Sus scrofa: one gene and its partners. The protein of the gene in region 1 binds, or shares a complex with, the protein of each later gene. Links are inferred from orthologs where the notes say so. Each region holds a gene or a part of one and is shown on either strand. Other genes may lie near its edges.

What was found.
Region 2: the proteins of F2 (region 1) and SERPIND1 are in contact, whole or in part, in a crystal structure (PDB 1JMO), measured with the Homo sapiens proteins. The link is inferred for Sus scrofa from reciprocal best matches to the Homo sapiens genes F2 and SERPIND1. Residues at the interface, in NP_000497.1 of Homo sapiens: Lys384, Ser385, Pro386, Gln387, Leu389, Leu390, Cys391, His406, Cys407, Tyr410, Pro412, Trp413, Asp414, Lys415, Leu423, Arg425, Ser430, Thr432, Arg433, Tyr434, Lys440, Ile441, Ser442, Met443, Asn458, Leu459, Lys470, Trp511, Ala513, Asn514; in NP_000176.2 of Homo sapiens: Glu75, Asp76, Asp77, Asp78, Tyr79, Leu80, Leu82, Ile85, Phe86, Asp89, Asp91, Val305, Glu306, Met307, Thr308, His309, Gln327, Asp343, His361, Lys362, Arg388, Thr457, Val458, Gly459, Phe460, Met461, Pro462, Leu463, Ser464, Thr465.
Region 3: the proteins of F2 (region 1) and SERPINA5 are in contact, whole or in part, in a crystal structure (PDB 3B9F), measured with the Homo sapiens proteins. The link is inferred for Sus scrofa from reciprocal best matches to the Homo sapiens genes F2 and SERPINA5. Residues at the interface, in NP_000497.1 of Homo sapiens: Arg383, Pro386, Glu388, Leu389, Leu390, Cys391, His406, Cys407, Tyr410, Pro412, Trp413, Asp414, Lys415, Trp455, Glu457, Asn458, Leu459, Asn506, Arg541, Ile542, Asp562, Ala563, Cys564, Glu565, Gly566, Asp567, Val588, Ser589, Trp590, Gly591; in NP_000615.3 of Homo sapiens: Gln241, Lys295, Lys296, Arg297, Thr368, Ile369, Phe370, Thr371, Phe372, Arg373, Ser374, Ala375, Arg376, Leu377, Asn378.

The regions. Positions count from the first base shown.
Region 1 is NC_010444.4:15,816,303-15,820,445, forward strand, and holds the start of F2 (prothrombin), read right to left. Parts: upstream 2,850-4,143; 5' UTR 2,814-2,849; coding exon 2,735-2,813; intron 2,353-2,734; coding exon 2,189-2,352; intron 1,293-2,188; coding exon 1,268-1,292; intron 1,040-1,267; coding exon 989-1,039; intron 1-988. UniProt on the Homo sapiens protein: Thrombin, which cleaves bonds after Arg and Lys, converts fibrinogen to fibrin and activates factors V, VII, VIII, XIII, and, in complex with thrombomodulin, protein C. Functions in blood homeostasis, inflammation and wound healing.
Region 2 is NC_010456.5:50,430,121-50,433,545, forward strand, and holds part of SERPIND1 (heparin cofactor 2), read left to right. Parts: intron 1-131; 5' UTR 132-141; coding exon 142-1,018; intron 1,019-2,403; coding exon 2,404-2,677; intron 2,678-3,425. UniProt on the Homo sapiens protein: Thrombin inhibitor activated by the glycosaminoglycans, heparin or dermatan sulfate. In the presence of the latter, HC-II becomes the predominant thrombin inhibitor in place of antithrombin III (AT-III).
Region 3 is NC_010449.5:115,802,414-115,805,913, reverse strand, and holds part of SERPINA5 (plasma serine protease inhibitor), read right to left. Parts: intron 162-3,500; 5' UTR 145-161; coding exon 1-144. UniProt on the Homo sapiens protein: Heparin-dependent serine protease inhibitor acting in body fluids and secretions. Inactivates serine proteases by binding irreversibly to their serine activation site. Involved in the regulation of intravascular and extravascular proteolytic activities.

The DNA of each region.
Region 1 (4,143 bases):
GTGCATCCCACAAATCCAGGTAGAACTCTCCTTCTTCTGGAGAGCTGTCCTTGACTCGGCCCGCAAATAAAACGCTCCCTCTCCTAGAATGCTCTCGTCCCCTGGATCAGAACTTTCCCATCAATTACTTTGATGTTTTGTATTTTTATTTTCCTATGAAACTGCCGTCTCCCTGATTCTTTTAAAATCCCCAACACTCGCCTTAGTCCTTGATACACAGCAGGGGCTTAGTTAAATGTCTACTGAATAACTTATATAACAAATGAAAGTATGGCCAGTGATTCACGGAGTTCCACTAGTGGGGCCTAATGTTATACTAAAGGTGTGTCCAGGATGCTGTGGAAGAGGGCGGATGCACCTTGAAGGCTCAGCAAGGTGGTGGCATTTGAACTAGCTCTCGAAGGATAGGGAGGTTTTCAGCAGGGCAATGATGATTACGCCAGGGGAAGATGACAATGTAAGCAGGGGCCAGGAGATAGAAACATCTAGGCCTGTTTAGAGAAGTGCTTGCTGTCAGCAAGCTGGGGGTCTGGGTGCAGAGTTAGTGCAATGGGAGCTAAAGCTAAAAGGGAAGGTAAAGGCCAGAACCTGCTAAATTCACCAGGCTAAGAAGTAAGAAGCCTGTGCTCTGTTCTGGGGGCAGTGGGGAGCCCCTCAAGGCTTTGGAGAATGAATGTGACATCACTGGAGCTCTGCCTCGGGCACACGGGGAAGACTGCCTGGCATATGTAGGGTTTGGATGAGAGTGAAGCCTTAAAATCATCATTCATTACCCATTCATTAATTAGTTTCTCCAACATTAATCATCTTCCTGTCAGGCACAGAGCCAGGTGCAAAGATATATCCTGGACCTCAGGACCAGAATGGCAATGTCAGATGCCAGAGGCCACCACCCTTGGGCCACAACTCCTCACCCACCCCTACTGTGCTCTTTTCCAAGGCTATCCCCTCATATCCTGTCCCCCCAACCCCCATGTCAGTTCCTTACCTTCCAGACATTCAACCAGCTTTTCTCGAGATTTCCTCACTGACTCACAAGCTGGAAAAGACCCAGAAAAACCACTGAGATCAAGGCAGAGACAGGATGGGTTCAAGCGAAGGGTAGATGGGATGACATTCAGAAACAGAGATGGGCAGATAGATAGAAGGGAGAGACCTGGGTGGAGGCAGGGATGCCTGGATGGACCAGAAGGGTCTCAGGGACGGAGCATTCTCTCTCTGGGGTCCCCAGACTCCCTTCTTGGAGCAAACCCTTCCCAGTGCTCACCTGTGTACTTGGCCCAGAATGCATCCTGAAAAACAAGGGCTGAGAGTGAGGCTGTGGCAGGATCCTGCTTTGTTTTTTTAGTAAACTTTCTGCCTTCTTAGACCATCCTCTTTCCCTTACCCTGGTCACGCAGGGCTGGCTCTGGGGAGGTTGTGGCAGAGTTTCCTAATTTTTTTCCCAAAAACCCAAGTATTTGAGGAGAGAGGAGCCCCCCATCTTCTGTTGGCCAAGGCTGAAAGGGAATCTCCTGGTGGGGGTGGACTGGAGGAGAGGGGCCCAGGCAGAGCCTCCGGGAAGGGGAAGCTGGTCTCTGGGCCTGACCAGACACCCACCTCCCAAGGGGGCACACAAGTCACAGCAAAACTAAAGCTGGAGTTCCCGTCGTGGCTCAGTGGTTAATGAATCCGACTAGGAACCATGAGGTTGCAGGTTCAATCCCTGGCCTTGCTCAGTGGGTTAAGGATCTGGCGTTGCCGTGAGCTGTGGTGTAGGTTGCAGATTCGGCTTGGATCTCGCGGTGCTGTGGCTCAGGTGTAGGCCGGGGGCTACAGCTCCAATTCGACCCCTGGCCTAGGAACCTCCATATGCCACGGGAGCGGCCCTAGAAAAGACAAAAAGACAAAAACAAAAACAAAACAAAACAAACACTAAAGTTGATAGGCTACGTGTCCAGGACTGGGGGCTCTAGTGACCCCAACATAGACAGATGTTTGAAGACCGGGGAGGACCCCTGACATGCTGAAGCCTCACCAGACCCCAGGACCCTGACACAGCCCAAGTGACAGGGCCTCCCAGAGGCTGAGCTGCTCATCATGGCAGCCCAGTGAAACAGGGCCCAGAGATGAAGATAAGAGCTGCCAGGTTCCGCACCCCCCTCCTTTGTGCTCTTGCAGCTGGGGTCTCCCTCTCGGGGGAGCTCACCGTTTCACTGGGAGACTCCAGGGCCTCGTAGGCCTCCTCGCGGCTGCACTGCTCCTCCACGCACTCTCGCTCCAGGTTGCCCTTCCGCATCTCCTCGAAGAAGCCGCTGTTAGCGCGTCGGGCCCGCTGGAGCAGCGACAGTGCTTGCTGAGGGGCCATGAACACTGCGGGAGGAGGGGCGTGGGACAGTGGCCTCTGGGAGCCAGGTTGTCTTGGCCACCATGGGGGCAGGAAGCAAGCCTGGCCTGCCTGCTGGCTTCCAAAAGGGAGATTCTGGGATGGCGGCTGCCCCCCAGAGGCTGCTAACAGCAGCCCACTAGCACCCCTCCTTTCACAGGTCAGCCCCAGCCCTCTCCCGGTATTGCAAGAGGAGAAGCAGTCCCTGTCTGTCCAGCCCTGAGCACCCGGCTCCTTCCCTCAGCTGGACACCGTGAGCTGAGACCCGGCTGGGGGCCGGCGCCGTGTTCTTTGTCGAGCCAGGAGACCCCAGCCCCCTGGCCCACATCCCAGTCTGCCGGTCTGTCCCAGCTTCCAGGCCCCCCTTACCATGCTGGCTGTGCACAAGGCTAACGAGGACAGCCAGGGCCAAGCAGCCAGGAAGCCACAGGCCTCCGACGTGCGCCATAGTGTGTCGGCTCCCAGGACTCTGAGGGCTTTTCCTGACCCCTCTGGGTTAATGTTGAACTAACATGAAGAAATCAGCTGGGAGACAGAGGTCAGCGGGTCAGGGCCATGGGGACAAGTGGATAGATAGTTCACTCCCGCCACCTGGGAGGACAGGTCCTCCTGGGACCAGGGATGGATGGTCTGGGACGGAGTCGTGTAGCAAAGATCAACGTAACCACCATTGTCCAGCCCCTCCCTCCCGGAGGCACGGGCCAACCTAGGCCAGTGGGGTCACGAGCTCTTCCCAAGTCTCCTTCCAATCCTAACACATGCACAGGTGGTGGTTGCTTTGATCCCTGTGGGCCTCGGTTTCCTCATCTGTAAAATGGGATGAGTATCTTATTGTGAGGACTAAAGGAGATTATAAATACATAGCAAGAGCTTAATAATCATCTACATGGATGTAAACCAGCGAGGAGGTATGTGTCATCACCACGCACAGATGTGAGAAAACAGAGGCAAGGGAGCAGCCAGCTGAGAGCTGCTACCTTGTCCCAGGTCACACTGGGCTGGACCTTGGCCCCAGCCTCTCCGCCCTGATGAGGGTCCCATTTCCCCTCTTCCTCGTCTGGAAGCCCTGGAGGCATGTTTGTGAGTGCTGGTTGCCTAAGAGGAGGAGCCAGGCCCAGGGCCTCTCTGGCTTCTGGTCTGCTTTCTCTCCCAGGACTTGCGGCCTGCCCCGGAGTAGGTATATGACTGTCTGCCTGGGGCCAGACCTGGAGTGGCTACTGGTCCCACACTACTCCTTGCCCAGCTCTGCTCCCATCTCTCCCCCACTTCCTGTTTGCAGTATGAAAGGTAAATATTAGTCCTGGGTCGAACTGGGACAAAGGGCCAAAGAGCAGGAACACAGGGAGTACAGGTTCTTGTCCTGCAGTCCCTTGGGCCTGGCTGTTCAGGGTCTGGGCCTCGGTCATGTACAATCTGGGAAGACCACAGGGAGGGGCCTGGTGCAAAACAGGGGAGAGGGTTGGCAGAGAACTGGGGGCCAGGAACCCCACAAATCAGCTTAATTCCTGGGTGGTCTACTTCATATATATATATCCATTCCTACTTTTCAATTTTTTTTTTTTTTTTTTTAGTGTCGCACCCCGTGGCACATGGAAGTTACCAGGCTAGGGGTTGAGTCAGAGCTTCAGCTGCCAGCCTACACCATAGCCACAGCAACACCAGATCAGAGCCATGTTTGAGGCCTACACCATAGCTCATGGCCACATCGGATCCTTAACCCACTGAGTGAGGCCGGGGATCAAATTCGTATCCTGTCAGGTTCCTTACCACTGAGCCAC
Region 2 (3,425 bases), on another chromosome or scaffold:
ATTCACCAGAACCAAAATGGTTTGGGACTGGCACCCCCAGTGCACCCTCCTGGATCAAGGCTGGGGCGGTGTCTGCCAGGATATATGTAAGTATGGGGTCTACCTCTTACTCTGTCTGGTTCTCCCTCCAGCTCTGCCAAAATGCAGCGCTCACCACACCCCCTCATGCTATTTCTTCTCCTGGCATCCGTGTGTGGCAAGCATGGCCTGGTGGGCCAGCCCGTTGATGGTGGGGAGGACCCCAAGTCTGCAGACCCCCGGTGGGGGCAAATGAAGAGCAGAAACCAAAGCAGGCCCCTCCTCCCCACTGACTTCCACAAGGACACAGTCACCAATGAGTGGATTGCAGATGGAGAGGAGGACGAGGACTACCTGGACCTGGAGAAGATCTTTGGGGATGATGACGACTACATTGACATCGTGGATGCAGTCTCGCCTGCAGACCCCATGGCCAGTGCAGGGAATGTGCTCCAGCTCTTCCCAGGCAAGAGCCGCATCCAGAGACTGAACATTCTCAATGCCAAGTTCGCCTTCAACCTCTACCGGGCACTGAAGGAGCAGGCCAGTGCCTCAGACAACATCTTCCTGGCGCCTGTGGGCATCTCCACGGCCATGGGCATGCTCTGCCTGGGCCTGCGCGGGGAGACCCACAAGCAAGTGCATGCGGCCCTGCACTTCACGGACTTTGTCAATGCCAGCAGCAAGTATGAGCTGGGCACTATCCACAACCTCTTCCGGAAGCTGACCCACCGCCTCTTCCGGAGGGACTTCGGGTACACGCTGCGGGCTGTCAACGACCTTTACGTCCAGAGGCAGTTCCCCATTCTGGATGACTTCAGAACCAAGGTCAGACAGTACTACTTTGCCGAGGTCCAGGCGGCCGACTTTGCAGACCCTGCCTTCCTATCGGAGACTAACCACCACGTTGCAAGACTCACCAAGGGCCTCATAAAGGACACTCTGCAGGACATAGACCCTGCGACTCAGATGATGATCCTGAACTGCATCTACTTTAAAGGTAAGAAATAGCCCCACGCTTCCCAAAGCAGACTCAGATGTGCCTTTTTTTTTTTTTTTTTTTTTCTTTTTCTTTTAGGGCCAAGTCCATGGCATATGGAAGTTTCCCAGGCTAGGGGTCAAATCGGAGGTACAGCTGTCAGCCTAAACCACAGCCACAGCAGTGCAGGATCCAAGCCACATCTGTGACCTATACTGAAGCTCATGGCAATGCCAGATCCTCAACCTACTGAAGGCAGGGATCAAACCTGCGTCCTCATGGATACTAGTTGGGTTTGGTACCACTAAGCCACAATGGAACATGTGGACATGCTCTCTTAGCATGCGGGTGGGTGGGCAAAAACCACGTCTGACCTCGATGTGCCCAGGAGACTCAGGTGCAGGCTCAGCTCTGGGAATGGGGAGGATCTGAGGAGGTAACAGAGCAGCTAACACTTAAAGGGCCTCCATTTTACAGACAGTGAGGAAAACGCTGCCCCAAAAGATGGTTGGTCAGGGGCAGAGCCAAGCTCTCCTAGTAGGCCATCCCTAGTGCTCTGTTAAACCAGAATCATACAAAAACCTTCTCCATATCTGGCCAGGCTGGATCTGAGTTCTTCATCAGTGAGTATGAGTGTGGACAAAGGTGGGTTCAGCTGGCATCGCTGACATTAACACTAGAGCTTCTTTTTGGGAGGGTGGGGGCGGGTATCAACTCTTAGGTCTAGAGCAACTGCTCTGGGCCAGGCATCAAGGCCCTGCTTCAGGAGGACACCCCAACCCCCCACTTGAGCACATACTCACACACACAGGGCCCTGGGATCCCAGAAATAATCACCAAGGCCTCACTTTTAAAATGCCCAGGAGGGGAGTTCCTGTCCTGGCTCAGAGAAGACAAATCAAGTGAATGAAAACTTTTAATTCTAAGTGTTACAACCACTTTGTAAAGCATGGCGAAAACAGGTCAGGCCTCAACAGAGCTGGTTGGGGGAGGGATCCACCCTCAGGGCAGACAGCACAACCTGGGGGTGCTGCTCAACACCCACCATCACCACAGAGCAGCCCCTCCTCAGGGCGGGCCCAGATCAGAGGCAGGCCGCCCGTGGCTCAGCCTCCCCCAGGGAGTCTCCGGCTCCTTGATGGTTAGTGTCAGTAAAGAACCCAGCCTTCATTCCTGTTTATCACTCCCTCTGTCATCCTCACGCCTCCCACAGGAAGCTTCTAAAACAGTGGTTCTCAAAGTGGGGTCCCTGGACCAGCAGCATCAGTGTCACCTGGGAACTGCTTAGAAACCAAAACTCCTGGCCCCAGCCAGACTGTGGGTTCAGATGTGTGTGGGGGGCACGGAGTCTGCCTGAACCCTCTGAGAGCACTTTAATCACAGCCCGATTCCTGTCTCCCTCGCAGGGTCTTGGGTGAATAAATTCCCAGTGGAAATGACCCACAACCACAACTTCAGGCTGAATGAGCGAGAGGTGGTCAAGGTCCCCATGATGCAGACCAAAGGGGCCTTCCTGGCAGCAAGTGACCAGGAGCTGGACTGTGAGATCCTGCAGCTGGATTATGTGGGGGGCGTCAGCATGCTGGTCGTGGTCCCGCACAAGCTGTCTGGGATGAAGACCCTGGAGGCGCAGCTGACACCCCAGGTGGTGGAGAAATGGCAGAAGAGCATGACAAATAGGTACCTCTGGGGGCTGGGGCCAAGGATATCACTGTAGAGAAAGGGACAGTGTGCATGAACACCCAGCCCCACCCCTGAGCTGAGGTTAACTCAATCAAACCTCTCACTAGGCAAGAGGTGATCAGAGTACATTTGTGAGAAAGGTGTCTGCTCTCTGTGAGGATGGCATCGCCCTCGGAGCCCTGCTGCACTTCCCTGACCCCCAATATCGCTCAGCGGGTGAGAGGTAGGAAAGATGCACATGTCACCCTCTGTCCTCCAGATCCTGGCTGGGCCTATGTTCAGGAGTGAACCTGGCTGGGCCTCCCCCCAGGACAAGAATACAAAGAAATGCACTCAAGGCAGAAGCAGGCTCTTGCAGGCACCTTAGCCCACATAGCCAGGTGGTCAACGAACCCTGTTGTTTCTTCCCTAAAAACATCCCCTCCTGTAAGTTCCCACTATGGCGCAGTGGGTTAGGAATCCAACTGCAGCAGCTTGGGCCACTGCAGAGGTGTGGGTTAGATCCCTGCCCCTGTGCAGTGGGTTAAAGATATGGTGTTGCTGCAGCTACAGTGTAGATCACAACTGTGGCTCAGATATAGTCCCTGGCCTGGAAACTTCCATATGCCTTTACTCTGGCTATTTAAAAAAAAAAAAAAAAAAAAAAAAAAGTTCCTCTTGTACCTGCCTCCTTCCTAACTTCACTGCCCACAACCTTGGCCCCAAGCAGGGGGGCCCGACCAACTGGCTGTCCCACTACTCGGCC
Region 3 (3,500 bases), on another chromosome or scaffold:
AAAGTCCCTGATGCCAGGGGCCACCGTGGCGACTGCAGGAGGCAACTTCAGGACTCTCTTCTTGGTCTCCCGGGAGTGGTGGCGGCCAAGGGAGGCCCCCCGCGGGCTGAGAAGCACCAGGCACAGGAGGAGGCAGAGCCGCATTGTGGCCGCCCGTCACTCTGAAAGGAAGAGTAGAAGATGCCCTCAGAGGGGGTGGGCGGCCAGTGAATCCTCAGAGACAAGACGGGAAGAAACATGCAAAGCTGACATTCCAGAAGATGGCACTGCCAACAAGCAGCCCGAAGGGAGATGATGAACCCGAGAGGCTGGGAGTCAGGGTTTAGGGAGCCCAGCAGGGGCTGGAGGACAGAGACCTGGGGTGGGGACCTCTAATGGTAGCAAGAGGAAGGACAGGCAGAGGAGCGGGACCCTAGGTGGGGACTGGCCACCAGAGCAAGGAGCCTCCTTTCATCCACATCAAGGTACCAGGTGATGGAATGTGGGGCGATGGGACCTGGTGCAGAGGCTTCTTCTCCCATGTTCTGGCTGGTCAGCATCTCTGTGGTAGCCAGGAACTAGCACTGTTTCTATACATGACCTCTAACCGCCACCTGGTCCTGGGGTGTGACATTTGCAAGACCTGGTGTCCGTCTATGAGCTCAAACTCCATTCAGTGGTTCCTGCTGTACTGCTGGCTTTGTTCTTGTCACTCTCTGCATGTACTCATTGGTGGGCAGGGTGCCAGGCTGCAGTGGTTCGTCACTGAACACACAGTGTCACTGGTCCCCCCTCTCCTTCCCCAGGGCTGCTCTGGGACCCCCAAGGCCACCCTTGTCCTTCATCAGAAGCACCCTTCTCTCTTGAGGGCACTGTGCCCTCTAACATGAGCAAGACTTCCTTCCTCTTCCGTGATGGGCTGAATCATGCCCCCAGATTCATATGGTGAAGTCATAACATCACGTCCTCAGAATGTGACTGTGTTTAGAGACAGGGTCTGTCAAGATGTGATTAAAATTAAAATGACATCATAGGCAGGTCCAGATCCCATGAGACTGGTGTCCTTATGAGAGGAGAAGATTAGGACACAGACATACAGACCAAGGGGCGACCACGTGAGGGCTATGAGGACACAGGGAAGAGGGAGCAATGAGAGACAATCAGGGACAAGCCAAGGAGAAAGGCCTCAAGAGCAACTAGCCCTGCCTGCCCTTGATCTTGGACTTCCAGCCTCCAGGACTGTGAGACAATGAATGCATGTTGTTTGAGCCCCCAGGCATCTCTTCTTCTTTGCATCCCTGATGAAGAGGCCCTGGGCTTTTGTCTCTCTATAGTCTCCTCTCTGTCTCTGTCTCTGTCTGTCTCTGTCTATCTCCTATCTCTCTGTCTCTGTTGCTCTGTCTTTATCTGTCTGTTCCTCTCTCTGTCTCTGTCTCTGTCTCTCTGTCTCTTTCTCTCCCTCTCTCTCTCTCTTTCTCTGTCTCTGCCTCTCCCTTGCCCCGAGGAGGTCTTCCATCATTCCAGCCTCACCCTCTCTCATACCCAACTCCCTAAAACCCTCCATTCAGAAACCCTCCCTGTGCCCACCGTCTACCCACTGTGAACGATCCAGACTCTGCAGCCCAGCAGCCTGTGTTCAAGTCTCAGCCCTGAAACTTTTTCCAAAAGTGTTTTGGGGCAAGTCACATCCCTAGCCACTGTCACCCACCTGGAGGTAATGACAAAATCTGCACCAGGCATGGCTGGGGGGCTTTAATGAGTCAACATATGTCACGTGCTTGGAGCAGCGACCAGCACAGCTGTGTGAGTGTGAGCCGTGTGGCAGGGACTGGCCAAAGCCCCCCACCTGCCGAGATCCCCCCTTCCTTCTCTGCATGCAGGGGACATGTTCTCACATGACCCCAAGCTGACCTGCCTGACCCCTGAGGAGAGCTCCCGTTGGGCGGGAACCCCCTCCGGGTGGGTATTCTCCTGCTTTAGACACCAAGTCATCAGGTCCCCTGGCACTGCCACAGAGTCACACGAATGATGCAAAACCCAACTCCAAGGGCCCCAAACAGTGGCCTTGGACATGGCTTGCTGGGGAGACCGGTGAACTTGGGAGTCAGCAGAGCTGGCCTGCAGTCCCATCTTTTGTTGGAATGAAACTCAGTGACTCAAGGAGTCACGTTCACACCCCTGACCTCCAAATTGCACCTGAGTCACAGAGGAAGTTCATCTGGAAGGTTCTGTCTGCAGAACCCGCAGCTACCCTGAACCAAATACAGTGGCCCAGCAGTCCCTGTGCCAGTGGGAGGCTCAGGTACGTCGCTGGCACTCTGGACACATCAGTTTCTTTGGCCTCATGCCCACCCACGGAGGCGGGCTCTGCTCCTGGCTCCCTTTCACAGATGCGTCAACTGAGGCTCAGCATTTACAAACAGTGGCAGAGCTTGGGCTCAGACCCAGTTCTGACCCTCACAGGTCATGCTCTAAATTGCCATACCTTTCAGCTTCCCCCACGTCCCTGGCCCTCCCCTGTGTCACAGTCTCCAGATTTGGTCTTCTGCCCCTCAGTGTGACCACAGACAGCCCCCGCTCTGCAGAGAATTAAGAAACATGCCTGGGTCTCCCACGCTGATACTCCTTTTTGGTTCCCACCCTAAGAGTTGCCTTCTGGGTGCTGAGATCTCTGTGTCCTTTGCTGAGGTCCCTCCTACGCAGCTAAAACCATTGCCATCACAGATGCTGCTGAAGAAGCAATTCAAACCGCCACCCCCACCCCACACACAGATGAGCACTGAGCTGATAATGACCCTCAAAGAAACGCTTTCAAAGAATAGCTACAGACCACGGAGGAGTTTCCTGCTTGGATGGAGCCCAGGGACACCTGGCCGGGGTGCAGGAATGAGAGACCAGGCCTCCCATGCCCCAGCCCTGCAGCCGGCCTGCTGACCTTGAGCCTGGCCCTTCCCCTCTTGGGCCGCAGTTTCTTCATTAAAAAAAAAACAAAAACAAAAACAAAAAACACAGAGGTCTGTTTGGCGCTATGGCCCCACCACTGCCTGCCCCCCAAAAACACTGGTGACCTGTTGGGCCAGAGCTGCTTCTGCCCCATGAGTCCCCCTTGAGAGCAGGGCCTTGGCTTCCCCCTGGCTCCCCTGGGCTGCAGGTTTGGGACCCAGAAATCTTCCTCCGTTTAGTCCCTCTTCTCTCTTATTGAAGCCACCGTTTATCAAGGACCAATCAGACACTCTATAAATATCACTGCATCCCATCGTTACCCACTTTACAGCCAGATAAAGCAAGGCTTCCAAAATTGGAATAGCTTGTCCCAGCCAGTGAGTGACGGAACCAGGATTAAAATCCAGATTCCCCTGACTGGTGTACATGCTGCCTCTTGGCTCCCTTCTGAGGCTCCAAGGAGTACCATGGGCTTCCCCTTCCTCAGTGGCCACTAGTGGGTCTTAACCTGTTTAGCTGAATTAGCTCACTTACACTCTTCCGCAGCAATGTGGAGTTGGTGTCATTGTCACAACCGT